2 linked regions of the Lepisosteus oculatus genome follow. The protein of the gene in region 1 interacts with the protein of each later gene in a biochemical or structural test. Links are inferred from orthologs where the notes say so. Each region holds a gene or a part of one and is shown in the gene's direction. Other genes may lie near its edges.

What was found.
Region 2: the proteins of ribosomal protein S6 kinase alpha-3 (region 1) and astrocytic phosphoprotein PEA-15 form a complex in vitro, tested with the Homo sapiens proteins (2 studies listed by BioGRID). The link is inferred for Lepisosteus oculatus from reciprocal best matches to the Homo sapiens genes RPS6KA3 and PEA15.

The regions. Positions count from the first base shown.
Region 1 is NC_090700.1:4,614,459-4,629,608, reverse strand, and holds the start of ribosomal protein S6 kinase alpha-3, read left to right. Parts: upstream 1-5,239; 5' UTR 5,240-5,433; coding exon 5,434-5,718; intron 5,719-5,932; coding exon 5,933-6,049; intron 6,050-7,384; coding exon 7,385-7,466; intron 7,467-10,778; coding exon 10,779-10,859; intron 10,860-11,303; coding exon 11,304-11,383; intron 11,384-12,336; coding exon 12,337-12,443; intron 12,444-13,395; coding exon 13,396-13,433; intron 13,434-14,029; coding exon 14,030-14,172; intron 14,173-15,150. UniProt on the Homo sapiens protein: Serine/threonine-protein kinase that acts downstream of ERK (MAPK1/ERK2 and MAPK3/ERK1) signaling and mediates mitogenic and stress-induced activation of the transcription factors CREB1, ETV1/ER81 and NR4A1/NUR77, regulates translation through RPS6 and EIF4B phosphorylation, and mediates cellular proliferation, survival, and differentiation by modulating mTOR signaling and repressing pro-apoptotic function of BAD and DAPK1.
Region 2 is NC_090699.1:9,324,633-9,339,782, reverse strand, and holds the start of astrocytic phosphoprotein PEA-15, read left to right. Parts: upstream 1-7,283; 5' UTR 7,284-7,831; intron 7,832-15,150. UniProt on the Homo sapiens protein: Blocks Ras-mediated inhibition of integrin activation and modulates the ERK MAP kinase cascade. Inhibits RPS6KA3 activities by retaining it in the cytoplasm. Inhibits both TNFRSF6- and TNFRSF1A-mediated CASP8 activity and apoptosis.

The DNA.
Region 1 (15,150 bases):
GAGGAGTGGGGGGAGGGCGTGTGCCGGCGGAGAGGGCACGGTACAGACGGCACTGTAACTTCAGCAGCTGGTCGGCTGGGAGAATCTTTTAATCTCTTCCCGACATGGCGGGGGTCGGCGGATTAAGTCGAAACACCCGCCCGAGTGCCTTCCCCTTGTGGGGCTCAGTTACAGGGCGGGCAGGCGAGCGCGCTCTGGGGGCCCCGGTGCTGCGGATTTTCTTTGTCATTTTGCAAACGGCGAATCCGAGTCGCCGGTGGAATTCAGCCAGCCCACAAGGATCGCCTGCGGCCGGGCGATGTCCGTCTGTCTGCGGCAGAAGTTCGAGAGCGGCGGCGGGGTTTTCCGCGGGGAGCATGTGAGTGAGATTATGGGCGTCGGCGGAGGGAAGGGTGCTGTGATGGATCGGGTCATGTGAATTTCTGTGGGTTTTGACACACTTTTCAGGAAGGCTCAGACAGGGTTGAGCCACTCGCAGTGCTGCTGTAGTTCAGCATCCGGGATTGGTTGCTCACAAGTCTTGCACTGAATTCCCAGGCGATCTCTCTTTTGCTGGTTTCATTTGATCTTTTTACAGTCCGCCCTAAACCCTTGTTTCTCTCTAGAAACGGAAGTCTTCCTGTCGCTTTGTTTACACCGTGGACTTTCATTTTCTCCTCGTGGAGAACTCGGTTGGCAGGGGAGGTGGATTGATGCTGCAGAGGTGACAGCCGGCGCCGGTTGAGTCCAGCGCCTGAGCAGACGCACCGGATGGTTAGGGCTCAGCATGGAGGAATAGGAAAGTGGGTTGGGCGCCCCCTTTTGTGGCACGCACGGTCCAGCTGTTTCTGGTGCAGCTGGGTTGACTTGGGTCAGTGATTTGTGAGTGTTTGAGTTGGGTCCCCGTCGTAGTCATCTCTGTCCAAGACTAAACTCCTTCGGCCTGTCAGAGGCGAACGCTCTCTGTGGGGCCACGGGTGTATCTGGTTGCTCTTCCCTGGTCTGGTTCCAGAGCAACACTATCTCCCATGCCCGGGTTGTGTTTCAGTGCCTCTGGGCAGACGTTTCAGAGTTGTGATGTTAAGGTTTCCTCCGGGAACTCGGGCTAGAGACCCGCGGCTCGCCTGGGGGCTGGTGGAACCATCTGGTTCAGCACTCCCGCGGGGCACGGCTGCAGCCATTTCAGTGGGCATAAAAGAACTGCTCACATGGGCTCACCGTTCTGCTTAGCAGCGTTTTTATTCTGTCGGGGCTTTCTCGCGTGTCCTGAAAATGTCGGAAGTCAGCTGAGGTCAGCGTGTCGGTAGTCCGCTCCCTCTGACTGCAGCAGCTCTTTTCAACAGTCGTTTTCTGTCACACCTTTTGGCTTTTCCAGTAGTCTCAATTTGCATTTGGCAGGTTTTTACAGGAGCCCTTTAAAACATCAGTTTCTAAAGGCGTGGAACAACTTGATCAAATAAACAGGTGGTTCATTCAGTTCAGTCATTCAGAGATCATTGGGAGAAAACATCAGCTCTCAAGGATCAGTGTTCCCTTCGTTGATACTTCACTTGCTTGACTGATCAACTGCCTAAATAAGTGTCCCTAATCCTTATCAGGTCATTTAAACTGACCTGCAGGAATAATGGAATTGGGACCAGGGTTGGGGACTCCTCGTCTGTACAGAATATGCAAATTCTTCAATCCTCCCCTGAAGCTGTTGATTGTGGAAGATGTACTACTGTAGCTTCCTGCATGCCTGCCTGTGCAGAGAGGCACGTCTGTACGAGTTCTGAGCCCAGCCTGTCATCACTTCAAGAGAACAGAGCTCATGCGGGGGGCCTCAGGGTGGGCTTTCCTGTGTGGCTCCTTTTTACCAGGTGATTGCTGGTCCCTCGTTTTCCTGAGCCGAAGGATGTCTGCATCGCACATCTCTACTTCCTCTTGGAAGGGCAGTCACAGCAGAGTTCAAAATGCAGCTGCTTTTTGGCCATATTCTTTCTTCTTTGGTTGTATTGCCCAGATATTCTTTGTCCTGTGCTGGGTCACTTTTTTTTTTAATTGAAAAAAGCAATTGTAGTCTCATGTTCTACCCTGCGTATCGGGCATCGCAGGCCATGGTACAGAATTTTGAAACAGCATGAGATAGGTCACGACCCGGATGTTATTGACGTATGCTGTATTGGAAAGATGCCGTTTTAAAGAACATTTTCAGCTTTACCGGTTTGAGCTGCAATTCGTTTTAAAATTCCATAAACAGGAAGCAGAACAGCTGGTCCTGGCAGAGATGAGGTCTGTCTGTTACATATTCTGTGATCTGTGAGTCTCGATGCCTAACGAGGTAGAGAGAGACAGGTAAACGATCCTGCTTCTGTCTTTCTGCAGGACCATCTGCCGACAGAAGAAACTATTTTTTTAAACAACAAAACAAGATTTGGAAGCACGTTTTAGTGTATTGTTTTTGCAAGCATGTCAGTTTAGGTGCGTTATTCTGTGTGAATCCCAGTCCCTATCAGGGTAACTTGGTGAATAATTTCATGAACCGACCATGCGATAAAGTTTTGAATTGAACCTTTCTTGTGCACTTGACTAACAACATGCAATGCCCTCTGTCAGCTCCCAGAATAAATGTTTCTTCTTAAAACAGAAAACACACTCTGGCATGACGTTTTATTGTGCAGAGGGTGGTCCATTCCTGCCTGTTGCTCGAATGGGTTCTGACATGTCTTTAGCGGAGTAAGAGAACTAATCTTCCCAGTCTGACACTTGCTCTGAAAATGATTAGCCCAAGGTCACTTCTCGTCAGTAGCTTGGCTGCACTTCAATAAACGCCTCAGGGCTGCCAGCCTGCCTCTGTTAAGGCTGTAGTCCAGTCTCCTGAGTCTTTCTGGGCCTGTCACCGGTTCCATCAGCAACTGCTCTTGGGGTGACAGGAGACTGTAGCAGGATCTCCTCTGAATCCGCTGTGCCTCATGGTTGAGACTTTGATCCAATCAGCATCGTTGACATTGTTGAGTGCTCCAGAAAGGTCAGAGGTCAGACACATTTGTTCTTACTGGACTTTTTCTGGAGGAGGAGAGTTGCAACTGCTAGCAATTTTCCCTTTTGCGTCATTTCCTAGGGATGATTGTTAGTGATCAAGAAGTATCAGAAGAGCAGTCAGGGTTGTTGTGGAGATGCATCTAGTTTTTATTGGCAGCTGAGTTTTTGGAGGAAAGGTTTCATTTGAACTGGTTTCCCCCCACAGGCCAAAAACATATTGGTAGCTTAACTGGCTTCTAGAAGAATTTGCTCTGGTCCGAGTGCGTATGTGTCTCTGTTCATGTTTGCGTGTGCCCTAGAATAGACTGGCATCACATCCTGAACCTTGAGCCCATTGCTTGTGGAGTTAGGCTTCATCGACCCTGAATTGGATGAAACGGGATGGGTGGATGGTCTCATTAGAAAATAAGCTACATAAGGGATTCAGGAGACAAACCAACTGTCCTGGCAGTTCTCTGGCATGGAGCAGTGTCGATGGGTCAGGGCTGGAGTCTGAGCTGCTGAATTTCCAAAGTACTTGCATTTTGCCTGGTCTACAGGAAGGATCCTGCAAATTCTGTTCCGACTTCTAGACAGGGTGACGTCTAGTGAAAGTGAAACCTCCTGAGGCCAAAGGCCAGCTCTCCTCACTGCGTCACAGGTTTCCCTTACTGACCACATGCAGGCTGAGACCTGCCGAGACGAGCACCTCCCCCCCCCCCCCCCCACTGCCTGAAGCAGAGTCTCTTTTTAACACTCCAGATTTATTTTGTGTGTCTGATCGCACCAGCGCCAAGAGCCGACGCGACTGCGTGACACACGCTGACATTTCGCTTAGACGTTCACATGCTGCATTCGAGCCTTGTCTCCGAGACCAGACGTGTGATCCCAGGAAAGATCGGAGGCATCTGTTGTGTTACTGTTGTGTTTCGCAGCAGCGGCCCTTCGGAGATGTCGTTGTTTTGCGGGTGGGTTTGTTTATCCGTCGCCTCTCCGGCTTTTGTGCAAGGCTTGAACGTTCCTCGGAGAGCAGCCTTTTTAATTGAATTAGCACTTAGCCGCTCTGTCGCGGAGAGGGATCGGTGAGCGCCGCGTGTGCGTGGCGGAGCGGGTCCGCGCCTCTCACTTCTCCTCTCCGCTTCCCGGCCAGGCCACACATCCTGGTGCGTCTGCTGCGCTCTGCCCTGGCAACTTCCCCTCCTCGCGCGGGAGACGGGCTCCTGCCTCTCTGATGGCAGCATGCTTGCGCTGCTGACAGAATGCAAACCGTATAGGCTGTCTCTGGGACTGCAGAGGATGGACAGGAGTGTTGTCGTCGCCTCTCTGTGCTCCTCGTGTGAATATCAGGTACTGTGCTTCTGCCAGAGGTCTTCTCTGCTCGGCGTCGTAGATGAGTTTCCGTGCGTGTCCAGGTTTTTTTTCTTTCCGTAGAGCCAATTACTGTAAGGTGCGGTATCTGAAGTAAGGGTCAGTGTTTTTTTTTAGATTAATATTTAGCTCCCACGAGGAGCAGCCTGTGTTCGCTGAGCGATTTCCCACATAAGATACTCGTTTGTGATTAACCCTTCACCGGTTCTGTGCTGTTACCCTGTGCGTGGCTCTTTTATCATGAGCGCTGTACAGTGGGTTGAGTCTAACAGACTTCTCATTTTTATGATTGAAATGTGGCCTGCTCTCCCGGGGATTAGTTTCACATTTACAATATGCATCTGTCCTAAATTGACTTCTTCCACATTCTCAAGGTTCAGCTTGACAAAGATGAGCTTTGCCTATTGTAAGGCTCCCTTCTGGAGTCAGATATCCATTTCCATTTATTGGGGAAAAATCTCATCGCTGAGGATGAACCTCTGAGAGCCTAGTTTAACGAGTGTAGTTCCTGGTTGTTTCTCGTAAGAGTCATTCATGCGCAGCGCACTGATCTGCAAACTCTTTCTGACGCGAGAAATGTCTCCTGCTCGTGCTGAGCATCTACAGATCACACCTTTTGAGAGAGAGACAAGTGTTTTGAGATTCTGTGCTTTTGTCAGTGTTCTGCTCACACAAGTCTCTTATCTCAGTACCACTAAGAGCCCTATAGTATCGGCTTCCTGATTCCGAAGGCATGCAGATGCCGAGATCTCCAGGTTTTTAGCCTTTTCCTCGGGGTTAGTATCTTTGTAGTTATTTGTCAAGGCTGCGTCGTACCTTTTGAAGTCGAAGCGTGTATAAAAAAAAGTTCCGGTGGCAGTGGGGGGGGGGCATTGTGTGTCTGATGAGGAAAGTGTGCAGCGTGACTCAGTGCTGTAGCTGTACGAGTGCAGTTTCGGACTTGGAGGTTTTCCCAGCGCAGGCGGGTGGCAGAAGGGAGACAGGAAGAGGAGGGGAAGCAGGAGAAGGCACAGCGAAGAGTTAACGAGAGAGAGAGAGAAGCGAAGGGCCCTCTTCCTTAGTCACCTCCTCCACTCCCACCTGCTGATGCCTGCGAGAGGGGTAGCATGGCAACAGTGTGGGAGCTGTCAAACGCGATCCTCCCCTGCCTGCAGGACTGCACACATCGCCGCCACAGCTCGCTGCCTCCATTACAGGCAATGGAGGATTCGGCCGCGCCGCCGGGCCCGCGCCGCCCGGGCTGTCCCGCTTCCTAGCCCCGCTCTCCTGCTGCCCCCCGGGGGCTGGGTGCTGATGGGCATGGGTGATGCTGTGGCACAGAGCAGCTCGCGGGGCAAGACAAAGCCGTGGGACGGCGGGACGGCCTATCACGTATGTGGGGGCGTGTGGGAGCGCCCGTGGTTGTTGGGGCGGGGTTCCTGGAGGGGGGGAGAGGGGAGAGGGGAGAGGAGGTAGGGCAGCACGTGCGAGGCTCGTCAGGCCTTCCTATTCCTGCTTTCCTCCCACCTGCTTTTAACACCGAAACGCGCTGGGCTGCCTTGAGCCGGGAGCTCACCCTGCCTTCTCTTCCCTGACTGTCGTCCAGGACGAGGGGCACGTCAAGGAGATTGCCATCACCCACCACGTCAAGGAGGGCCACGAGAAGGCCGACCCGCGGCAGTTTGAGCTGAGGAAGGTGCTGGGCCAAGGCTCTTTCGGGAAGGTGAGTGTGTGGGGGGGCGGCGGGGAGTGGGCTGGATGTGGTTTTAGAGAGAAACGCTTTGAGGACCGAATGCGTGTCTTGCAAGTGCACGCAGTACACCCTTTTATTTTTACTGCCTTTTTCAGGGACAGATAGGTTTCAGTTGAGGGATCTAGTCATGCACAGACCTGGTAATGGCGGGTACTCGATGGCCCTCAGAGACCACCCTGTGAGCAATCAGAAATAGATTAAGTGTGAGCATTGTTTACAAATCATTTCAACCATTGGACATGTGCAAGGGAATTGAGTAGGATTTTCAAAAATGTTCTTGTCAATTGCTTTGTTTGGATATGTGTTACAGCCTTTAAGGCTGGATGGGTGGCATGCATGTGACCCTTGACTGATTTTAGCTGTGCCCTCCACTGCTGTAGTGTGAGCTGTGTGATGAGCATGGAGATGAGCATTCTCAGCTAGTGGGGGCATATGGTAGTTAATATGACTAGGAACAAGTAAAGGTTTATTCCATGCTGAAAAGAGAAGAAACAAAACGCAAAGTTTCAGCTGTGGAGCCTTCTTCGGGTGTCAGTATTATTAGTCTTTCTTGGCTGGTGATAGCCATGCATGCCTCGTGTACGTTTTTCAGGCAGTGTGAGGTTTTTGCAATTGGACCTCTTCTTGTTTGTGCCGAGCTGAGTCCTGGGGCATCTGTTTACTTGCGTCTGGTGTCCTGAGCCCAGATCAGGGATCAGAACATCCTATTTGCACTGTTGCAGCTAACTCTGCGGATTTGCCTTTTAAAGCGTGCGTGCTTCGGCAGGAATTCGGCAAGCATGCAGCGCTAATGGCTGGCCCACAGTGGCGTCTCTGTCTCTGCTCTCTGGAGCTGAAAGGGCCCTTTATTCCAGGAGCATCACCCCGTGTCCTGCCTGCCTTGTCAGGGGGCCTGTGCTCGGATGAGAACTCATTAGCTGATGCACCAGTGGAGCGCGGATATGCAAGGTGAAGGGCATTGTCTCGGGGTGCTCCTCTGTGCCGTGTGGGTTCCCACCAAGTTCTCATGGGCCCTCCGGCGGTGACCTTAGTGCTGGTAATGACCTCTGAGCTCCACTGCCCCTCAAAGCCCTTCTCCTCTGCCGCCCAGCCTGGAGAACCCATCTAGGCCAATTTGTCTGACTCTCCGAACGATATTATTAATCAGCTGATAGCATCCAGTGCTCCTGTACACTGGTCTACTGGGGCTGCTGTGTGAGAGAACCTAGTCCAGCCTCGAGGACGTCAAGTGCTGAAAGAAGGACTCCCCACCCCACTTAGGCCATCTCTGCTGTGTCTTGTAACTTCTGGACTTGTCCACCACAGGTATTCCTTGTGAAGAAGATCACGGGCCCTGATGCTGGACAGCTTTATGCTATGAAGGTGCTTAAGAAGGCAACACTTAAAGGTAAATGTTTTCTTACTGTCAGAAATCCACTCATCTTGTCTGAGACACAGTCATGTCATGGTATAAGCAAGCAATGCTCTAAACTTATATTAATTGATGAAGTTACAATTCAGTGTCCTGAATTGTGTCCTCAGTGTTTTTGAATCCAGAGTTTTAAAGCAAGGCCAGACTGTTCAGGCCTTTAGTGCTGATGTATGCAATTTACGTGATCCAATATATCTTACCCTGTTGAGGCTGATGTGTTTTTCTTCAGAATAATGAGCATTTAATTTGTTTGTTTCTGAGGTTTTTAATCGGCATTTCAAACTTTTAAATATTGTTGTGGCAGCCTTTATAAGTATGGTATGGTAAGTCATTCACATAGAAAAAGGGTACAGAATTGTACACCTCAATTGTGGCAGCTTTCAACAAAAAAGCTGCAATGCCTCTACATTTATAATTTGATCTTTGTTCTGGATGTTATACCTCCTGTTAGCAATATTAAGCCTCTCAGTGCCCAAGGAACTGTTTCGGGTGTTTACTTTTTGACTACAGACTGATGTCAGCCCGATCCTCACAGCGTGACGGTGTATTTGTAGGACTCACTGCACATCTCCAGGCCAGTGCACACACATGCCTACAGTGCTGTCTTTGTGCACAGCTCTTTGTTTCTGGTCATTATTAACATCATTTCTCAGGGCAACACCCCCTCTGTTTATACATTGTGTGTCTGAAATAAAGCCTTGTCCCATATGTGGCCTCCTTTTCCCAGGCCTTTAATGTTTGAAATGACAGGAAGCTGCTTGAACTAGAACCTCTCAGACAGATTAATTATAGACTCCTGTAAGACAGAATGTTACTTCCTGTCTTGGTATTTGCCACAGTGTTGCCACAAGTCTTAATAGATATTGTGCTTGTGTCTGTGACTCTTCTTAATGCCTGATTGCATCCATAATTGCCTGATCACAACTCCAGATGGAAAGAGCCTTTCTTCTCCCAGTCTCTCCTTAGTGTTGCTAAGTACTCTTTGGAATCGAGCACAGCTTCCACTGTGGAGCGGTTTGGTCCTTTTTTGTGTTTAAGAACCGAAATCTCGTGCTAATTACACTAGCAAAGCAGAAATGCAGTGTGTTGGAAGTCAGCTGAATGTCGATCATTAATGTCATGTTCAAAGGAACAAAGAAAGTGTTTTTTTTTGGCTTCTGCAAGAGTTTGCAGTTGCTGTGTCCCCCGAAATGAATTATATCTCTGTTACTCCATTCACTACTAAGTTGTTCTGCTGATGTTTTTATCCAAACCTGCTTAAATTATACCCGTAAATACAGCTGGGCATTTTACTGGAGCGGTCTGATGGAAAGACCCTGGCCAAACATAAAACACTTGGGATCTGCCCCTCCAAGCTGCTGCCATCTTGGCACAGTTTAGAAAAGCTGTGGAGAGTTTCCTGCTTCGGGGCTGGATAGCCTCCACATGCTTTTTCTTTGTCCCCTGGTTTCTGGATGTCTCTTCTGGCCATGCCGAAGGAAAGTGCTGATGCAGACAGCAGTGAGCTCTGCTTCAGAATCTTTGACACAGCGGAGTCTGGGAATCGCTCTGAATCGGAACAGCTCGTAAACAGCCGGAGCCACAGCAGTCTGCGTCTGGCCTTAAATTGCTCTCTGTACTCATTTATTGTCAGATCATTAAGGTTAATCAACATCGGTGAATGCAGTGTCACTAGCAATGCAGCATGGTGTTTATTCCTTTCGCAGTACAGCGCTGCCCTTTAGAGGGGTCAAGACAGAGATGGAAGGAATTCCCTTCCGGCTTCATAAAGCACGTAAAAGCACTTAATATAAGAGTCTGTTTTCAGCAGCTCTGGGTTTGAGAGTGGCGTATTCTGCTCTTCTGCTGTGTGCTAGGTTTAGCAGTGAAACAATAGGCTTCAGCAGAGATTTGGCGTCTTTTATACCATAGAGTGACACAAAACACAGAGGCATCCCGATCGTCCCTAGGTACCAAAGAGACCAAAGACGGAGGGCAAGAGGGGAGGGTTGTCTTTTCTTACAGTCATTGAGTTGATGTTTTCAAACAGGCTGTTTCATAGTGAGCACCCCCAGAGAAGGTGACATAATCCAATAGGTTCCATCTTTTGTGAAAATAACAGCCGTTGAAGGGCAGTCTGGACCGGGCCCTAATGTGACACTGCCGTGCTAGTATCCCCTACCTGGTTTTAAGTCTCAAGCCTGTTTCGCTTTAAAAACCTGTTCAGCATCCTGTCCTCATAAAGCCATGTAAGCCATGACTGGCCATAGATTCTGTGAATGCTGCCACTTTGAATGGCACTGTGAGGACTGACAGCAATTTGGACACATTGAACAGATGCCTGTGCCAGTATTCTACCCAATTTATAAATAATTTGACTGGTTCTCAAGCTGCATCATCCGTGCCATCACAAAATCTTTTTTATAAAATAAACCAAGTGGTCTAAATATGTGTGTTGAATACTAATGAAACTGGCATATTTGAGGAAAAAACCTGCTAATAATTTGCTTGAATATGGAATGCCGTTCTCTTTACATCAGAAAATTGCCTCATGATCAGTGGCTGGATATCCAAAATAGTCTTTTAAAAAATAAAGTTCTGCAGCTTTTAATTCAAGATTTTTTGTCAGGTTTAGACACCACGCAGTGGTCATAAAAGAAATGCCACAATACAGGTAAATGCGCTTCAGAAAGGCCTGAGCTTTTACCAATTGGAATGTTGTTCAGTTAGATTTACGGAGAAGGGTAGATTTTCATACTGTATATTTCTGGCATTCTTCCTTTGCATGCCTGAATGAAACAGGAAGTGAACAGGTTTCTCCATAACGCTTGAGAGGGCTTTAGAAACTACTTTTCTGAATCTTCTACCACCAAAAATAGATCAACATGACATTGAGTGTTAATAACGTGGTGAGAATCAACCTCTAGTAATTAATGTAATGAATGTATTACATGGATATTAACTAAAATGAGATTGCTCATTGATTAAAAAAATGCTTTCTTAATGGGTAGGTCAGGGTTAATAACCATCTTGCAGTGCAATTTATGAAGGTTAATTTGCCATTAAAGTGTAATTAGTTTTTACTTCCATCACTGGCCCTGAATATAGAGAGGTCCGTGAGAGCTGATGAAGAGGAATTCGGAATGCAGCGAAGGGTCTGACTAATGAATGCGTTCAGAAAAACGACAGACGTCTCTCTTAGCACTTTGATCAAGTCCCCCTGGCGCCGTCCATGAGTCAGTGTGATAGCAGGCTCCAGCAGGAGGCTGCGTTTATCTCTGCCTGAGTCCTTTTGTCTCGTCCTTTCAGTCAGAGATCGCGTTCGAACAAAAATGGAACGCGACATCCTGGTGGAGGTGAATCACCCCTTCATCGTGAAGCTGCATTATGGTAAGAGCCGATTCGGGAGCCATATGTTGCCATGCTTGGTTTGCCAGCAGCTCCTAATGTTCTAAAACCAAGGAGATTAAATTATTGTTCCTATTAAAAGTCACTAACTTTTTTTTTTAAATAGCATTTACTATAGCATATAGTATCCCAGCCCTGAACCATGGGCCTGTTGGTCTTTTTATTTAAATATCGCAAATATAGAGAACTCTAATCTAAACTGCTTGGAGTATGGAAGCATTTTCCCAGACAGTAGTGTATCTGTTTAATGATGCCCCGTAAGGGCTGTGTTAGAAGTGCACAGTTCTGTACTGCTGGATTTCTGTCAAGAACGTATAGTTGCCCATTGCCATGCCTTACCATCATTCAGCCCTCTTGGCCCTCGCCTGGAGGTAGTCCTGAGGTATGCTGTGCGGTGCTGACTCCTGCCTGGTCACTTTGTTTCAGCGTTCCAGACAGAAGGGAAGCTCTATCTCATTCTGGACTTTCTCAGGGGAGGAGATCTGTTCACCCGCCTGTCTAAAGAGGTACGGATCAAGCAGAAGCGCAGTGTGCAGGTGTGAGGGGTTGCCGCCGCGGCCAGCTGCTTTCTGTCCTGGAACGATCCCTGGTGTAGATGTTATGAGTATTATGCCTGTGCCCTAATGCAATCGAGGGAGCAGCCCGGGAATCCATCGTTGTCTCCCGGCGTCCGCGACAGGCGGTGGAAGTGATTAGTTATGACAGATTGTTATTCAAAAAGAAGTTTAATCATCCTATACTTCAAATCGTTGTTCCCAGTCCTGGTCTTTAAAGGCCACAATCCAGAGAGTTTTCTTTAAAATATCTGTGGAGAACAATCGGTCCAGTTAAGTGTTATTGCACCAGTCAGTTCTCAGTATGACACAGGAAACCTAGCAAACCTGCTGTCGTCTGGTTGGGGCTTCTGCTTTAAGTGATGCTATAAGAGGCCTGTCCCACAGCTAGAGGAGAGCATGCTGTGCTTACTGGTGTTTAAGAAGCGGCTTATCTGGAAGGTACGGCAAATTGTTTCTGCAACCGAAGTCTCAGCAAGTCAGAGGCAGATTCAGGAGCCATAGCTACAGAAAACCAGTGAGCAGCCTTCCAGCCTCCAGTCCCTCTGCAAAGGTGCACATGACAGTAATTACTGTACCACACTGGCTGAGGCAGGGGAAACTGAGCAGTCACCGTTTCCTGTCTTCGTTCCCTCAAGATAGGGCAGCCGGATTAGTCACCCGAGGTGTTGTTCCTGAGTGGTTTTAACAAGGAACTCTGTTGTTTCCTTTCTAAACAAAGTGCCACTGGATAGTCTTTGTTCTTCTTTGGTAGCTTGGGGAGGAAAATAAGTAACACCAGGGCAGGAAAAGAAGAATAGTTCTCTGCGTGTCTCATTTGCGTTCTTCTCATCTCCTCCCTGGTGTGTTTTCCTCCTTCTCTGTCCCCTCTTCCTCTTCCTTCTCTGTCCCCTCTGCAATGGCAGGTGATGTTCACGGAAGAGGATGTCAAGTTCTATCTGGCAGAGCTGGCCCTCGCCCTGGACCACTTACACAGCCTGGGCATCATCTACAGAGACCTCAAGCCAGAGAAGTACGAGCAAAAGGGCAGGGGGTACACAACGGGGTGATGTGGCGGTCGGTGGGATAGCCACATGTTTCCTCTCCGATTCTTAAGAACCATTGCAAAGAGCGGATTGGGCCCATCTAGCTCATACGGTAGTTAGCTAACTGGTTGTTTTACACAGGGGCTGGATGTCTGTGGTACAGGACACCCCCCGATAGTCAGACATTTATGAAAACCTGTCATCACACACTCTGCATGCAGTAGTTCGCTGGCCTTCTTAGGGGGGCTGTAAGAACACGAAGGCTCCAAAGGAGAGGAAGTAATTCGGCACATCCGGCACGTTGGTGGTAGTTTGACTACCCCCTCTGTTTCTTGAAAGGAACCATATTATCCGCTTCAGCAAAAAAAAACTGTTTAGTTTGTTCATGACTCCCGCTGAAAGAAGCGCCTAAGGTTATCAGTTATAAATGAATTTCCCTGTGAACACTGGAACTGTATTGGCTGGGAACCGAAACTGGGTCAAGTGCTTAGATGGGAGTGCTTTTCTAACCACTATGGCACCAGTGTGCATTTTATCACTATTTCACGCTCACAAAACTTTCTCGCTTCGCTCAGCCTTACCCTGCCAACTTGACTTACTCATAGGACAAATGATGTCACAGGATGGTCTTGCAAAGTTAAATAGCTATACCTGTAGATGGTCCGCAGTTTGAGCTACGGTTGGTCATTTTTTTTTTAAATGCTACAAACCAAATCTTTGTAGGTTGTAATACTGTGTGGCTATTTGACTTTTCACTTCTTTTACATTCATTTTTGCATCCAGTCCTTGATTCTGTCCTTGCCCCGTTTCAGTTTTCAAAGCTAATCAGTTTGGCCTCTAGGGTCCTCAGTTTGTCCTTTTGTTTTGTTCCCAGTTAAGGTTCAGGGTAACGTTCATGATCTCCGTTTGTATTAATCGAAGGACTGTGTCTCTTTACAGCATTTTGCTCGATGAAGAAGGGCATATAAAATTAACAGGTATGTAACAGCAGGTTGTGTATAAAAAGAGTTCTGCACCTCGATAGCAATAAACATAGATTCAGATATACATGAAACAACTTCCTAGGAAGGAATAATATTTTCTTTGACATATTTATCGCTGCATGTATAATAAACTCTAGGTATGTGGCCATGTCTGTGAGAGTATAAAAAGAAGCATGTATGTGGTTTCACATGGAAATGCTTTATAAGCCACACACTATCACAAGAGCTCTTGCAGTTTCAGATTTGCCATCTTCCCTATTGTATGGTATTAGACTCCCATAAGAGGGAGGAGGCAATGCAGTAAGCTGGGACAAGTTTGTAGTGTGAAGAAACCTCCCATCCAGATCCTGCTAATGAGGGTGTTTGTAATGATTGAATGCAATAAACAATTTTTAAAAATATTGTCGATGTGTGTTAACTGCAGCAGCAGGTGACTGGAAAGCTTGTGATTTTATAGAACTTTACGCCTGTAGGGTCTTTACACAGTGAATACCCCCCACAGCAGAGGAAGTGGAATAGTCGTTTTTGTCTTTAAAAACCTCTGCCATTGCGTCTCTCAAAGTCTCTTGTGTGTGTGCGCGCCTTTCCAGATTTTGGCCTGAGCAAGGAGTCGATTGATCACGAGAACAAGGCCTACTCGTTCTGTGGCACGGTGGAGTACATGGCCCCCGAGGTGGTGAACCGGCGGGGGCACACCCACAGCGCGGACTGGTGGTCGTTCGGCGTGCTCATGGTGAGGGCGGCGAGGAGCCGGGCGTTTCCAGTGCAGCTCGGTGCCGCGCAGAAACTTGGAAAATACACTGCAAATCCTTATATCAGCAGGGAAGACAGCTAGAAACAAGAAAGTGGCTTCTCCCGGATTTACAAACAATGAATGATTGGATTGAATTAATAAAGGAAATCTATATAATAGAAACTAAAATTACAAATGAAAAAATTAGTCGAATATTGGTTCAGTACATTAAACCTTTAAGGTCGGAATTTGTTGAGATACAAAATAACTGAAACTTAATAAGGTACATTTTTATAGTTTCCTCCCTTTTCATATTCACAAGTGTATACATCTTCCTCATTTTGAATGTATATAGTTTTGTTTAAAAGATATATGATTGTAATATACTAGGGGAACAAACAGGAATAGACCATTTCTGCTTGTGATGTGTAGTCAAAAGTGTATTGTAAAAGTAAGGCTGAATAATGGTGGTTAATATGTAAAATGGTTTTGTTTTGTTCTCTAAACTAACATTTAAAATAAAATACACTACAGTCTCGATCGGCACAGGACCCCTACCAAAATTACCAGCAAGTTGTCGGCAAGACTCTTGCTTCTTACAAATTCAGGATTTTGGATGGGAGAGGGTAGGTTCCCTTCCTAAGAAGTCGTGCCACTGCCCTGTCAGATGTCTCTTTGATAGGCTCAAGAAAGAGGAGTCAAATGACTGTTTGTGGAGGTGTGCAAATCGTGTGCTGCCTAGAAGTTGGATTCCGCTAATTCCACTGTGAAAGGAGATGTAATGGCTTTCTTTCTATGTACGGCACTGCCTGTGGAACCAGCTGAGGCCTGAACAATCTGATATTAGAGTACCAAGATGAAATTGGGTGATTAAAAAAATGATGAGTCTGATAGACTCATCATGGTATACCACAAAATTGCATTCCTCGCCAAATAGGACATTCTGGCAGCACCTAATGCCTGAATCACCTCGGCTGC
Region 2 (15,150 bases), on another chromosome or scaffold:
TGTTGATCTGTGTGTTCGGGTGTTTAGAAGTGTGTATGTGTGTTGATCTGTGTGTTCGGGTGTTTGTAAGTGTGTATGTATCTGTGTGTGTGCAGGTGTTTGTAAGTGTGTATCTATGTGCAGTAGCAGGATTGCTTGAGGGGGGTAGTTTTCGTGACTGAAAAATGCTGCAGATTCAAAGCCGAAACTGCTGAACCATGGAGGAGATGACAAGAGGCCCCGCAGCTCCTACTCTGATTGATCTACCCTGCTCTCCGTGTCCATCAAACTGTTTTCCCAGGTTGCCAGCGTGCGTGACTAACCCTGCCCTGATTTATGTTAACCTGTCTGGTTCTCTCTCTTTCTTTTTTTGGTTTTACAAAAAAGCAGTCCTGGAAGGGTAGAGGGACCAGTGTGTGAGCATGGAGTGTCATAAGATCACTTTATTGGCCAGCTACAATTTCTTGTATAAGGAACTTTTCACATAACCCAGCTTGCTCTCCATGAGACACACAGACAGGGAGTGAAGCTTGGGGTCAGAGTGCAGGGTCAGCCATTTGTACAGCGCCCCTGGAGCAGTTGGGGTTAAGGGCCTTGCTCGGGGGCCCAACGGAGCAGGATTCCCCTGCTGGCTGCGGGATATGAACCAGCAACCTTCCAGCCACAGGCGCAGATCCTTGACACTCTTTACACTGGTTTACTGCTCTCCAGGAACTGCTATTGCACAGACAGTATGTTAGTATGTTCATGCTCGCTTGGGTTTCCTTCCACAGTCCAAAGACATGTGTTTGTGTCCTTGTTTGTCTGCTCTGAGAAGGACTGGTGTCCTATCTGTCACAATCGTAAACCCCTCCTCTTAAGGACGCTCCAGCCTTCCCTTGTTTATTCTTAATCTCCTGCATCTGCCTCCGGTTCCCGACCCAGTGCTATAAAAGCCAGATGTTCCTGCCAATCTGGGCTCAGCTTTGGAAGATGGAGGCCCAGAAGCCCACCTACCCACGAGTCCAGGAGCGACTTGACGGCATAGGCTTCACAACGACATCCTGACCATCTGGGTCTGGGACTGGGAGCGCCTGGCCCTGTTACCCCTTCTATCTCCCCGACCCTTCGCTGGATCCTGCTCCGGCTTTTAACTTTCGTTTCTGTCAGGATGGATCACCCGGCTTTGGACATTGGCTTTCCCAGGATATTCTAAGGGACTCCCTGGGACTTGTTTTCCCTGGACACCCCCCCCCCCGAGCACCAGCGCACCTTTGGACACGCCCCCTGTTCTTCTTCCGGCCCCTATCCTAGTCTTTTTTCCCTGTGTTTACTCACTCCCTTCCGGATTGTGCTGTCTGCATAGGGTCCTGAAAGACGCTTTGTGACACTTTCCAGGGTATATCTCGCCTTGCGCCCATTGCTTGCTGGGATGGACTCTGGCTCCCCCATGATCCAGAATTGGAAGAAATGGTTAGAACATGGATGGATGGAGGTAGCTTGTAATATTGTATACCACCTTGCATAAGTGCTTTCTCAAACTGATGGCACAAATAGCAAGCACAAGAGGAACAGACAGAGGTCAGATACCTCTGACATAGTGCTTGCAGTCATCCTGTAGCAACCCCCCACCATTCCCAGCAGCACAGCTCTTGACCTCTAAAGGTGTCCCCCTGCTTTAAGGACACTTTCTGCATGTTGCTCCCTGTCTGACTTTTATTTTGGAAACACAGCCAAAATGAAATGCCTCGTTCTCCCTGTTGTCCGTGCCTCTTGTCTCAAACACTCCCCGGTATTTTGTCTCCTGAGCTCCGTCAAAGATGGTCTTGTTCCTGGAAGAAAGCAGACTTGTTTATTGTTTGCTGTCCGAGCCCGTGTGGCTGTGCCCTGCAACACAAAAAACTGCCTGTGTCAGTGTCTCAGCATAAGCCCCTATTGAATCTGCTCCATCTGCCGAAGAGACAGAGGTAAGCAGTCTGTCTGTTTCCTTTCTTCGGTCAGCTCTGTAATCTCTCCTCCATCACTGGGGTGCCAGCCTGTCCCATTATGGGTTTAGAAATACAGTAGTGACTCCCTCTCCCACAAGAAAGGTCATCGAGGTCAATTCTCAACGTTCCTTTTCCTGTCTCACTAAGAATCTCTAAAAGAGACTTAAGCGTTTGTAGGCACAATTATTTTTTGTCACCATTAATTCTCTTTGCAGATCTACCGAATATCAGGATGGGAGCCCAAGGAAAATCAGCCAAAAGCTAAAATCTTAAGTCAACCCCATTTGTCTTTCAGGTTTATATTGAACCTGAGCAGCTGTATAGGGTTGTGAGGAGAAAAGCAGAAAAAAAGAGGTAGTCTGAAATTTAGACTACGTGGTAATTGCCCTTTATTTTAACAGAAACTGGAAGTAATTGGGCTGCACAGTGGAGCAGTGGTAAGCATTGCTGAATTGCAGCACTGGGGTCCTGGGTTCTGTTCTAAATTTGGTGTGTTATCTGCCTGGAGTTTGTAAAGTATGTTCTCCCTGTGTCTGCATGGGTTTGCTATAGGTGCCACAGTTTCTGCCACAGTCCAAAGACATGCTTCTGGGAAAATTGGCCGTGGTGTGAGTGTGAGCGTGTCTGTATCTGTGTGTGCCCTGTGATGGACTGACATCCAGGGAGTATCCCACCTTGCTCCCATTGCTTGCTGGGTTAGGCTTCATCTCCCCCGAGACCCTGCACTGGTTAGAAAATGGAGGGATGGAAGTAACTAAGGCTAGCTCTGAAGTCCAGCTGCTACAGCCAGACACAGTCGTAGCTTGCCTTGTCTCTAGTAATCTCTGAATTCCTAGAGCCCGCACTGTGCTCGGCTTTTGGGGCAGAGTGGTGGCACTGTAGCTAAGGATCTGTGGCTTGAAGGTTGCTGGTTCAAATCCTGCAGCTGGCAGAGGAATCCTACTCTGTTGTGCCCCTTAGCTGTATAAATGGCTGACCCTGCCCTCTGACCCAAAGCTCCTCTCTCCCCATCTGTGCGTCTCCTGGAGAGCAAGCTAGGGTATGTGAAAAGACAAATTCTTAATGCAAGAAAATGTATATGGCTAATACAGTGATTGTAGCTTATCTTATCTTCATTGCCCTTGGGGACTGTGATTTCTTGTGGAGTCAAACCCACTTGTGCCCCCCGGAGCAGGACTTCAGAGCGCTCCACCCGGGCGGCAGTCTTGTGTACGGCTAGACCCCTGAGTTACGAGTCCAGGGTGCTGGACTTCTTTATGGCCCTGTCTTGTTTCAGCAGAACAATTTGAGCCATTTTTCTATTCTGTTGTCATAAGTTCCCACATCATGAATTCAGTTCAGGAGGTCACCGGTAAATCGGCAGAGGTATCTATTCCTTCAGTGTGCAATTTAACGCTAACGGGTTCATGCCTCGGCTTGATGTATTGTGTTTAACAGGGCTTGTAATTGTTGAAACAGTGCAGGTGTGTAATTAATGCTGTGGTAGTAATGCTAATGACTTCCGTGGGAAGAACGCAACTAAAATTCATGATGAATCAATGCAATTATGTGGAGAGCACACACACACAACAGATTCACAGATCACTGAGTGTACAAGGACAAATCTGTACGTCTGTTTATGCCTTAGAGGTGAAAGGTTTCGCAGTATTGATATTGTTGTTGACTTATCAGGTATTTTCCACATCCACTAAATCTCTACAGCTGTCCTCTGTAAATTGAGTTCCCACTGGACTTCCTCTGGACGTCTGACACAGCTTCCTTTCTAACTCTGTATGTATTGTAGAAGAGAGAAGTAGGCAAGGGGTTTGTTAACTCAGGGATTAAAGTGAGAAGTAATGACCACTGGTCTACTCCTCCCTGCTCCCTCTGGGCATCACACGTTGTTATCAGCCCAGAGTGTCTAAACCAGCCGTAAATCTATTGATTAGTATTCCTCTCTCTTTCCAGCTCTAGCAGGGTTAAAGTGCTTTGGGGATGAGGAGAGGGATGAATAGGATTGACTCATTTTGTTATTTCCATTTTAATTTCTCTCTCTTGGGATTTTTATTTTCTTAGTCTTTCCAAAAGCCACACATTACTCACCAAAATTAAGACAAAAGCGACCAGATTGCAGGTCTCTATGACTTGAGTGGCTGAATAGCTCTGCAATTCAAACGCAGAATGAAAAGCAGGGGAGACGAGGAGGCTGAATTGATAAGGAATGAATATGACTTTGCGATTTTGTTTCCCTCTCATGTCTCCGTCTTTTCAAGAAGGTTCCCGGGCTCATGGCGTTAATGAGGGGAGCAATTAGTGGAAATGATTTCCATTCTGATGCAAATGTGAAAGGGAAAAATGGAGTAAAAAAAGGAGATTGAAACTGTCTGTTGCTAGTTTATCAGGCAGTTGGGAAGTTCAGAAAGAGCCGGTTTCGTGGGATTTGGCAGTTCTGAATTTTTGTGTGTTCTGAGGAATCTTTCGCTTTCTCTCTTGTTTTGGTTCTCTTAGCAGTTTGTTCCTGTTCGTCATAGCACCGCACTGCCGTTTCCTAAAAATAGTCAAACTTGTGATCTCTGATCACAAGTTGCTTGTTACTCGTGTCCTCATTTTTATTTCCTCTCCCATTCAACTGCAGTAAACACAGAGCAGTAAACACAGAGCTTTCTATTGTAAAGGCTGCCACTCCTGCCTCTGGCCAAATATTTCTGTCTCCGTCCACAGATTAGAACTAGAATTTGAATGAAAGGAAGTGCAAAACAAAGTTGAGATCCTAATGTGATTCAGACACAGCATGGCAGCACTAGGACCTAGGCACCTGACTGAGACTGCAGCCTGACTGTTGGGCTCAATCTGGTGGTGGAGTTCCAGAGAGGGTATTTCCTGCCCTGGGAACAGCTCAATGAAGAGAGAAGGGAGTACAGGAATTCTGGGGCCCTGCAGATTGTCCCTCAGGGGCAGAATAAAGGTATTGAGCCTCTTTAGCCTTCCTTGCTGAGCAATAAATCCATCCCTGCATTTTCTAACCACTACATCAAATACAGGGTCGAGGGGGAGCTGGGGCCTATTGTGGCAAAGTGGGGTACACACGCTAGACAAGACTCCAACCCATCACAGGTGCAATATATTGTGGACCCCCAAACCGCAAGGGGTAGTTGGGAGGACAGTGGTAATTAGGACTGAGAACAAAGGGTGCATCTTTACACAAAGGGTGGTGGGTATAGGGAACAAGCTGCCTGGCTACGTTGATTCAACCACTTCTGTAGGATCCTTTAATAAGCAGCTGCTCTTGATTCTATTGGCATTAGGTTATGAGCAACCAAGCTCAATGGGTATAACAGACACCTTGTTTTTGGAAGCTTTCTTATGTTCTTATTCTAGCCCTTCTGCTTTATCTGGACAACACTGGTTACTTCTTCTGTTTACTTTATAGACTCGTCTACAATGCAATACAAGACACCCTTAAGCCAGCTGGATTGATCTAATAAACCACAGGGAAAACAATTATGTGTTGCACTTGGACATCTTTGATGAATAGGTAAGATCGGGTGATAAATAATAATAATAATAATCTTTACACTAATATAGCACTTTTCTGGAAACTCCATTCAAATTGATTTACAGGGAATGGGGACTCCCCTCCACCCAGCTATGTGTAGCACCACCTGGATGATGAACATCTGTTCATAACAATATTATATTAACAAGCAGCTATAGAACAATAACAAACACTGTCATTCAAATAGATAAGTTGAGATTTGAATAACGTCAGTTCCCTAGGATCTTATCTGAAACACAACGCAATGAGGTTCATTGTTCTGCTCGCACAGTGATTCAGCAAAGTGAGAAGAGCACCACCTACTGGTTTGCCAACATTGCAGCCAGCAATGTGAATTTCCCTCGTGCCAAGAACTACTGGAAGAGATATATATCCATCCATCCAACTGCTTCATCCAAATTTGCAGGTTGCAAATTTGCAGGTGAGTTGGAGTCTATCCCAGCAAGCATCAGTCACAAGGCAGGGTACACCCTGGACAGGACGCCGGTCCATCACAGGGCACACACAGACACACACATCATCACACACACATTCACTCCAAGGGTCAATTTTTCCAGAAGCCAATTAACCTACCAGTATGTCACTGGACTGTGGGAGGAAACCGGAGATCCCAAAAGAAACCCATGCAAACAAGGGGAAAACATCAAAACACCACACAGTGATGCAAAGCAGCAATCGTAACCACTGTGACATCAGGCCACCCAATATAGAACTGCTGCAGTGTTATATTTTTTTTCTGATTGTCAGCCCATCTCAGACCTTAATGACTTGATTGAAGTCATTGCCTGGACACGTAGTCACATCAGCAATGTTTTATGCAGGGCAGTCACAATTTGAACGGTACTTCTCAAACAGGCAGGTACACAAGGACTGGAGTGGTCTCTATTCATTCAAGAAAACGGGATGGACATGCGTGAGCGAGAAAGGGGTCGAGGCGGCTAGGCGGGAGAACCACCCACAGCACGTCAAAGCCGCGAATAATGACGTCAGCGGCGTGACAACAGGCCCGGCACCGCTGGGCAGGTGTTACTGACCAAAACCATTCAGCTGTTCACTGAGGCTGCCTGTACCCAGAGTGCCCATGTCTTCTGCACTATGCCACCGTGTTTGTGCCGAAATATTATGCCTTTTATAGAACCAGTGTCATAGTTATTCATTGCCGCTTGTGTCATGGCAAAGGATCGTGAATGAGATTAAAAATGTGGTCAAGGTCAGTGAAATTGCAAGGGTTTTTTTTTCTATGAGTCATGCTGACGGATCCATCTCCTTTTAACTTTTTTTTTAATGAACGAGGCTTACTGATGCCAAACGTGACTGGGGCACTCCTTTGCACAGCGTTTGACATACGAAAGGCAAAGCGTGAATCTGGCCATGTAATCAAAGAAAAGACCAGCGACGTGAAGTACGGAATGTGTTTATAAAGGATGACTTTGCAAGTTTGTGTTGGGGGAGAGCGCAGACTTGAACGGAATCATCAACAACACAGGCAGAAAGCATTTTTTTGCGGTGAAAATTCGATATTAGATTTCGTTCATTCCTAGTTGGACAGTAGTAACTAAGAAAATGAATCTTAGACGAAACGACTCTCCTGTACTAGCTGGGATGTAGTGAGTACTTGGGAGGTCTGAATTTTTGTTTTGTACAGATGTAACCTGCATCGTGCAATATGCGATTGTATAACACAGTACAGCAGCGATCCTTGACTCCCCTTCTCCCTGTCGTTACAAAACGGGCTTCGGGGGCCGGCGAGCAGAACAGACCGATGTCACATTCCTAAAGACCTTCTGTCGTTCAACAACGTGAAGCTCGTCCAAATAGCGAGACCAGCCGGGACGAAGTACAGTGAAATATCCTCTCTCCCCCTTGCTTTAACATACCCTGCACACACTGACCGGCGTTTACAGAGGAGAAAAGAATCAGGGAGAGAGAGAGGGAGAAATGAGAAGGAGGAGGGATTTGCTGACCGGATAACGTGTGACATCAGCTTCAAAAAATGTGTGTGTGGATGTGTGTGTCTGTGTAGAGCCAGAGTCAGACAGGGCTCCGAGGAGGAAGGGGAAAAAAAGGCGTTTCCATAGAGAAGCCGGTTAGACGACCCAGAGTGGACGTTCGTAGCGCTGAAACCAAATCCGATACATCGGCAAAAGCAGATCGATACCGTTAAAGCCGAAGCCAGGAGGGACGAGCGGACTTGCAAACGGATTGCTTGCCAAGCCCCCAGAAGCAGCTGGAAATCGCCAACTTTCACCCTCTTACCCCGAAAGGCAGAAAAAGCATCTTCCCGTCCCCGGCTGACTTAAGCGACTCGCCCGCACGGAGTAAGTGCGAAAACACTCTTATTTCTCATTACGTATGTATTCATCTCTTTTCACCTCTGTTTCCTTCGCTTGGTTACCACTTGTTTTGGGCTCACGCGTTCATTTGTTTACGCTCTCTTTTGTTCTTGCTGAATGAAAGACACCAGGAATTCCGCTGCAAACAGTCTCAAAACCCCAAATCATGCGTTATCTACGGCCAGTCTTACTTTGGTCCCGTTTGCGCAGAAAACAGTAGGTATATATTCGAGCTGCTGCCAACTAATCGAGACCACATGGTAAATAATAAGAAAAGAGCTCGGATGACATCGTCTTGAACTGGAATCTACCCGAGATTTTCTTTATTTTCTCAATGCCTCCATCTTCAACACTCCCCTTAGAAAACACAACCACAACAGTCATCGTGAAACTTGCTCTAGAGCAGCCTGTATCCGGCTCACTGTACATACCAACGCCTTTCAATGTACAGTACCTCCCACTACAAAACGACAGAATTAGTTTCCAGTCGTTCCGATGCATCTGGATGTAAGCTAAATAAATAATTAACATATTTATACAAATCAGTGTCTGGAAAATGTCGTGCCTGCAGACGCAAAACAAACGGCTTCCACTGGCATCAGTATTCTGCATAAACAGCCCATCAATCTCTGACCTATTTTCTCCATACAATTGAATGGCACCTTATGGGTGAGACGGCCTTTTAAACGTGCTTAAATATGACCATCCTAGCGGTTGACATGTACCTTAAGAATGTGATGTGCAAACAGAAAAAAAAGAGGCAACTTTATTATTCTTAATAATTCTTATTCTTTTAATAACTTATTCTTTTTAAAACGTAAGTTCACCATTAACCCCGTATAGACATGGGCTTAGTTAAAAAAATGAACAGTAAAATAACTTCCGTTCGGTGAATGTAACAGCCACCCCACCGTGCGAGTTGTTTCTTACTTATTTTTTGTATCGATTATCTTAAGTAAGTCATAAATTAAGACACGAGGCGACGGAGACCGTCAGTTACCCAGCTTACGTTTTTATTCGAAGTATAATGACATCCGAGTTTGGACCAACGCTTGGAGCAAACGGACCGTTAAAACTTCTTTTCTTTTCTAAACAAGATGATGGCGGCATTTAATAGTTATAGCGAGGCAATAAAACCAGTTCTTTGGGGAGTCGGTGAAGTGCCTTCTCGCTAATTTGTTTTTCCAGGTTACTCTCCTGACTCAAGTACGACGGTCTATCAGCTGGTGCCGCGGTGCGTTTACTGTTGATGCCAGTTTCCTCCCTCTGTTCACATCCGAGCCAAGCCAGGCTGCCCGGGTGTCGCCCTTTTCCCCGTAGTCAGCGATTGTGCTTATGCCCAGGTGAAACAGTACCAGACCTACTGTATCACCTTCCCGTGTCTTGGTAAAACCTGATACAGCGGTGCTATTGTTTGACAGTTGCGAACTATTCCACGCTCAGCTGTAACATGTACTGTAATGTAGGGGAGTACTGAGACTTTAGTAAAACAGAATTACCGTGTTGTGCTCCACTTCGTAAAAATCACGTATTTGCTCATGCTGGTACTACAATGTGGTAGGGCGGAGTGGTGGCTCTGAGGCTAAGGATCTGCCCCTGTGACTGGAAGGTTGCCGGTTCAAATCCTGTGGCCGGCAGAGGAATCCTACTCCGTTGGGCCCCTGAGCAAGGCCCTTAACCCTAACTGCTCCAGGGGCACTGTACAATGGCTGACCCTGCGCTCTGACCCCAAGCTTCTCTCCCTGTCTCTGTGTCTGTGTCTCCATGGAGAAAAGCTGGGGTATGTGAAAAGACAAATTCCTACTGCAAGAAATTGTACAGGGCTAATAAAGAAACATTATTATTATATTACCATACAATTGTTACTATGGTGAATTGTTATATAATTTAGTAGGGCCTTCAAAACAATCTGGATTTTTTTTATCTTCTTGGTGCTGTCACACCCAGGTGTAGCTTACTGTACTGTTTTGGGAATGATATATTCAGCCTTGCACAGATATCCTTAATATACAGTATGTATTATTGATGAGCAGTGCCACTCATTTGCCCCATACCTTACTGACTGGGCTTTCTTTGAGAGGTCCTCTCTGTATTAAAATGCACTAAGTAATACAATGTAAAGAGTACATGAAGTAACATACTTTAGTATAGAGGGGTTTGCACAAGTGTGGCATAAAATTCGTGTGTCGTGGAGTTGATTTCAGTTGGGGGCACCTTCAGTTTGCATGCTCTCACCTGTGCTCGCATGGGCGTTTTCTGGTTGCTCTAGTTTCCTCGCACCCCAGCTGCCTGGCTAGGTGAATCACTGTCCTTAAACTGCCCCTGAGTGTCTATGGCCTGCAGTGCACTGCAGGGGAGTTTCACACTGAGATCGCAGGGAATAAGCTGCTGCTTGTTGTGACTTTCAGCAGCAATCAGCAGCTTCCCAGCGAAGGGTGGATTGATGCATGGTGCTGTGGAATAATAGCACAGCAACTGGACAGTGCAAAGCCAGAGCAGGCTGTAGGGTCAGCAGTTACAGTCCGTTCAGGCTGTACAGAGACAATCCCCGGGAGACCACTAGGTGGAGCCATCCTGATCATCACTGACAGTGTAGCTGAGTCCTCTACAGGGTGTGGCTCAGATGCCAAAGGAAGCTATGGTGTTTGAGAATCAGTGGGATTAAGGCCTCGGCCTTGAAAATGAATAAAACCAGCCACATTTCTGCCACAAATGGGAGGCCCTCTCCCTTTCACACAGACAGCATGGAGTTTCTCCACTCTGCAAAGGGAGATCTTCCATTTCAAGGTAATCAGACAGCTACCGGCTGTGTTCTGGAAACAGCGGCAGTTTGGGATCCAGATTCCTGACTGCAAGCCCTGTGGGTGGATCCCTTCGTCCCCCGATCCTGATATTTCATCCAGGTCCCTCCAGCCACTCCGGCTCTATAAATGGAAGTCACAACTGTATAGGTTAACAAAACAGGTCACTGTAAACTCTGCAACTCTCTGTGGATAAAAGCATCAGCCCAGTCACGAATGATAATAACCTGTCAGTTTAGTACAGCTATAACTACACCCATGTGGCTTGTGGGCAACACTCTCTGTAACCACAGCATTGTGTACAGCGTGATCTCACTCTGCACTCACCTACCCCTCAGTCCACAAAGTGAGCAGCTCGCCTGCTCTGCTGTTCACGGAGACACCTCTGACCCCTCTGGAGCCATATCAGCAATATACTGTACACAGTACAATATGCTGCACCACTTCAGAGCCAGTGGATAGCCCCCAGATACCATACTTATAAAGCTTAAACGCAGTTAGAATAATGGGATAATAACAGGCTTCATTTATCCATTATTCTTGAACTGCTTTATCCAATTCAGGGTCTCAGGGGAGCCAGAGCCTATCCTGGCAAGCAATGGGCACAAGGCAGGGTACACCCTGGATGGGACACCAGTCCATCACAGGACACAGACTCACAGGACATAAACATGCATACACTCACACCAGAGCCATTGAACTCACCCCTATGCCTTTGGACTGTGGGAAGAAGCCAGGGCAGCTGGAGGAAACCCACACAAACATGGGGGGAACATGCAAACTCCACACAGATAGCACCCCGGGTCTGGAACTGGCACTGAGCCCAGGACCCTAGCGCTGTGAGGCAGCAATGTTAACCACTGCATAATCATGTTGCCCAAGAGGCTTTATTGGACTGAAATAATGGATTTTTTCGTGCTTTCCCACTGCACTTACTGCACATACATACAGTATGATCACATCCGTGGGAAAATGGACCGTTTTATTCCCTGCTGGGAGTGGGTGGGTGTTCAGTACGCAGAGACACTATTATCATAGCTGTAACGTGTAGGATCCTGTTCCGATGGTCAGCTGTAGCACATGAGAAACGATCTTGTCCTGGTCTGGATCAGCTACATCCCAGCAGGGTAGCAGATAAAGTTGTGAGTCAGTCCGGACAACCAGAGGATAATGGTAATATTTCTTCACTCCTTCTTCCCTGCATCAGCCCCCCACCACCCTTCTCTTCTGCCTTTGTCAAAAGGAAAATATAAAATTTACAAGCCTCGTGCTTTCAAGATCGGCCCTTGACAATAGGGACTGGCAGAGCGGAGGAATCAGGCACCAGGAAGGCCCTGTGTTTGTGCAGTGTGTTGATGTCATCTCCAGTGTCACAGTCCACCGTGCAAGCCTGCAGGCAGTTTTCCCAGTCTCAGTCTCAGTCTCAAGACATCATCACAGCTTCAGATTCGGGCAACGTAAGGGATTGGTGTGGTCCTTCTAGGAAAATAAGGGGTACCCTTTGCCAGTTTAGAGCACACACAGAGTGGAGAGGAAAAACAATCCACTGACAATTGACAATTGTGGACAGACGTGACAGATATGATCACCCTTTCTCTCTTGCTCAGAAGCTGACTCTTCTGCAGGGCTGTGCTAGATTTCAGTACTGGAGCACTGATGAGGTGGGGGGGCAGTTAACACTGTCTTAGGTCCTAGAATCAGTTCTGGCTTGGGATGTTTTTTGTGTGAATTTTGACCACGGTCTGTGGTTTCTTCCTATACTCCAGCGACATCATTGCTGTGCCCGAAGGCATCACTAAATTGCTCAGTAAGTGCACATATACGTGTCCTGCAATGGACTGGTATTCTGTCTGAGGTGTAGTCCTGCTTTTGGGTCCTGTGGTATCAGGATGGGCTCCACAAACAAGCACTGTAATGTTAAGAGACTGAGAAAGAGACATAGATCAGTCTGTTATGGTGAGGGTTGTGGTTTCATATTTTTAAATGCTTGGTGATTTACAAAATTGGTCACTGCATGTCAGCATAGACATCGACAAGATTTGGAACCACAGTGGCATAACTGTGATATACAGGGGCTAATAGTGGCCCAGTGATGACTGGCACTTGCAGTAACACTTACTGTGTTCAAAATGAAGAACGACATTAAGGAAGTGGATCCTCTGCTGGTTTGCAGAAAGAAATGAAAGAGCCTGAGTCAGCAGACAGTTTCAGAAGGGGAATCATCCTTTGTCTATTTTTAAATCTTGGCCATTGAGCTCAACCCAAAATGCACAACTTGTTCTTAATAGGCAAATCATATTTGGCACAATCATACATTTAACTGATCTCATGGTATAGGAACGGATGGTTAAGAGCAAGGTTTTTAACTGAGGTGCTAATGTGATGGATAGGCATCGATGATGCATCGCCCTCAATTTTAAGTGAATATGGAAGTGACACACAGCGAACCAAGCACTGTCTGCTTCACAGTTCCTAAGCATAACCAAGCACTGCCTGCTTCCCAAACACTCAAGACCTGCTCCTAAGCAGAACCAAGCGCTGTCGGCTTCTCAAGACCTGCTCCTAAGCAGAACCAAGCGCTATCAGCTTCTCAAGACCTGCTCCTAAGCAGAACCAAGTGCTGTCGGCTTCTCAAGACCTGTTCTTCGGCATAACCAAGCGCTGTCGGCTTCTCAAGACCTGTTCATAGACATAGCCAAGCGCTGTCGGCTTCTCAAGACCTGTTCATAGGATTAAACAAGCACTCTCGGCTTCTCAAGACCTGTTCTTAGGCATAACCAGGCGCTGAAGGCTTCTCAAGACCTGTTCTTAGGCATATCCTTCTGCTTCTTAAAATGCTTTCATAAATAGGTCTGGGGAGGGTTTCTGTTTCTTGAGACTTGGTCCTAGGCATAACCTTCTGCTTCTTAAAATGCATTCATAAATAGGTCTGGGGAGGGTTAGAGTAGTATATTTCTAAACTGCTCAAAGGGAAATTGGGTGAGCAAATGAGTAAATTGTGACAAAAATCAAGAACATTATTCATTTTTTGTAGAGTAGCTTTAAGATGTTTTAGTGTCCTTCTGGCAAACAAAGACACCATTGAAAATGTGTTTGTGAATGCTTATTTCCAGCAATTGTCTCTGGGAAGCCAAAAGCATGGCGTGCCACACCCTCTTTATCCATTGAGAAAATACTCCGGTGTGGGGACTGTATACATCTACTGGTCATTTCCTGTCATCAGTCTTAAGGGCTTTTTTGGTGTTTGTGCTGGACAAACAAGAAAGAATATACAAGAAAATATAAAGGTAAAATCTCATTATATATATACAGTCTGAAGAATGGATAGGTTTCTCATTCTTAAAGGAATCTTATATTTATGAATCTTTTGTTCTCTAAAATCAGGATGTTTTATAGGAAAGAATAAGAACAGGGGGCACTTTTATATACAGTATAAGAGGTCGAAGAGGTCTGGGACAATCTATTTGGCCAAGTTGTTGAAGCCAATAAACACCCTGGCATCTTTTGAAAAACAGTTGAATGAGATCTTCCAACTAGGGCAGGAGGTCTTCTTTACACCGATGGTGGTGGGAGTGTGGAACAAGCTGCCCAGGCATGAAGCTGAAGCCCATACCCTGGCTTCGCTGAAGACACAGCTGGATGAGGAGCCTGGATCAGTTAGCTGCGTCCTTGATGGCGTTTATAACCTATTTTCTGTCCCTATGAAAAGATCAAATAGAATCCCAGACTTGTTTTTTTTTTTTTTTTCCTCCAGTGCCTGGGTTCTTGGCCAATTAAATAGAAAAAACAAACTGCCCTGTCAGATGAGAAGCCTAGCGGGTTTTTCACGTTATCTAAAATGACGTATTAAACGCATCTTGCCGGGCTGGGAAATGTAAAGAGGTGATTCGAGGGCCGTCTGCATGCTTAGTATGCTCAGGCGTGCCAGCACCGTTTAGCATTTAATCCACTTTCTTTCTCTCAAATAAAATGTCGTGCTTAGTGTAATTTGATTTGATACAAGTTGATTCGATTTGCTTTTTTTTTTTGCCGGGACGTGATTGCGTTTCAAAACGACTCTTAACACAGCCTTCTTCTGTCCTGCTGTACAAACAAAAAAATAGGCCAGTGTCTGTGTTGTTGCCGTGTTTTCATCTGCTCTTTCGTTCTTCTTCCTCTCAAAGGATTTGGGATTTTGTCTCGTTGTTTCTATATAACACCTAAAGTATTCGATTTCTTAAAGAGTTACTAACATACACGTACAGTATAACAGCGAATTACATTTTCAATTCACATCGTGTACTCGATGAGACAATCAGATTCATGTTTTGCGATTTTGTTTGGGATATTAATAACATGAAATACAGGTTTTCTATTTCCGAGACTGAAGAAATTGTCAATGTTTCGGCCCGAGGCAAAGGAGAAATAGCCAAATCCCTTCCATTCGCACTAATTCAGCGTTAAAATTTCTAATAATCATTATAAGTATTTTGAATTTGCTCAGAAAGTCGGGAGTCCGCAAGTTTAAGTCTTCAAAGACGCACCCATGAACCTTC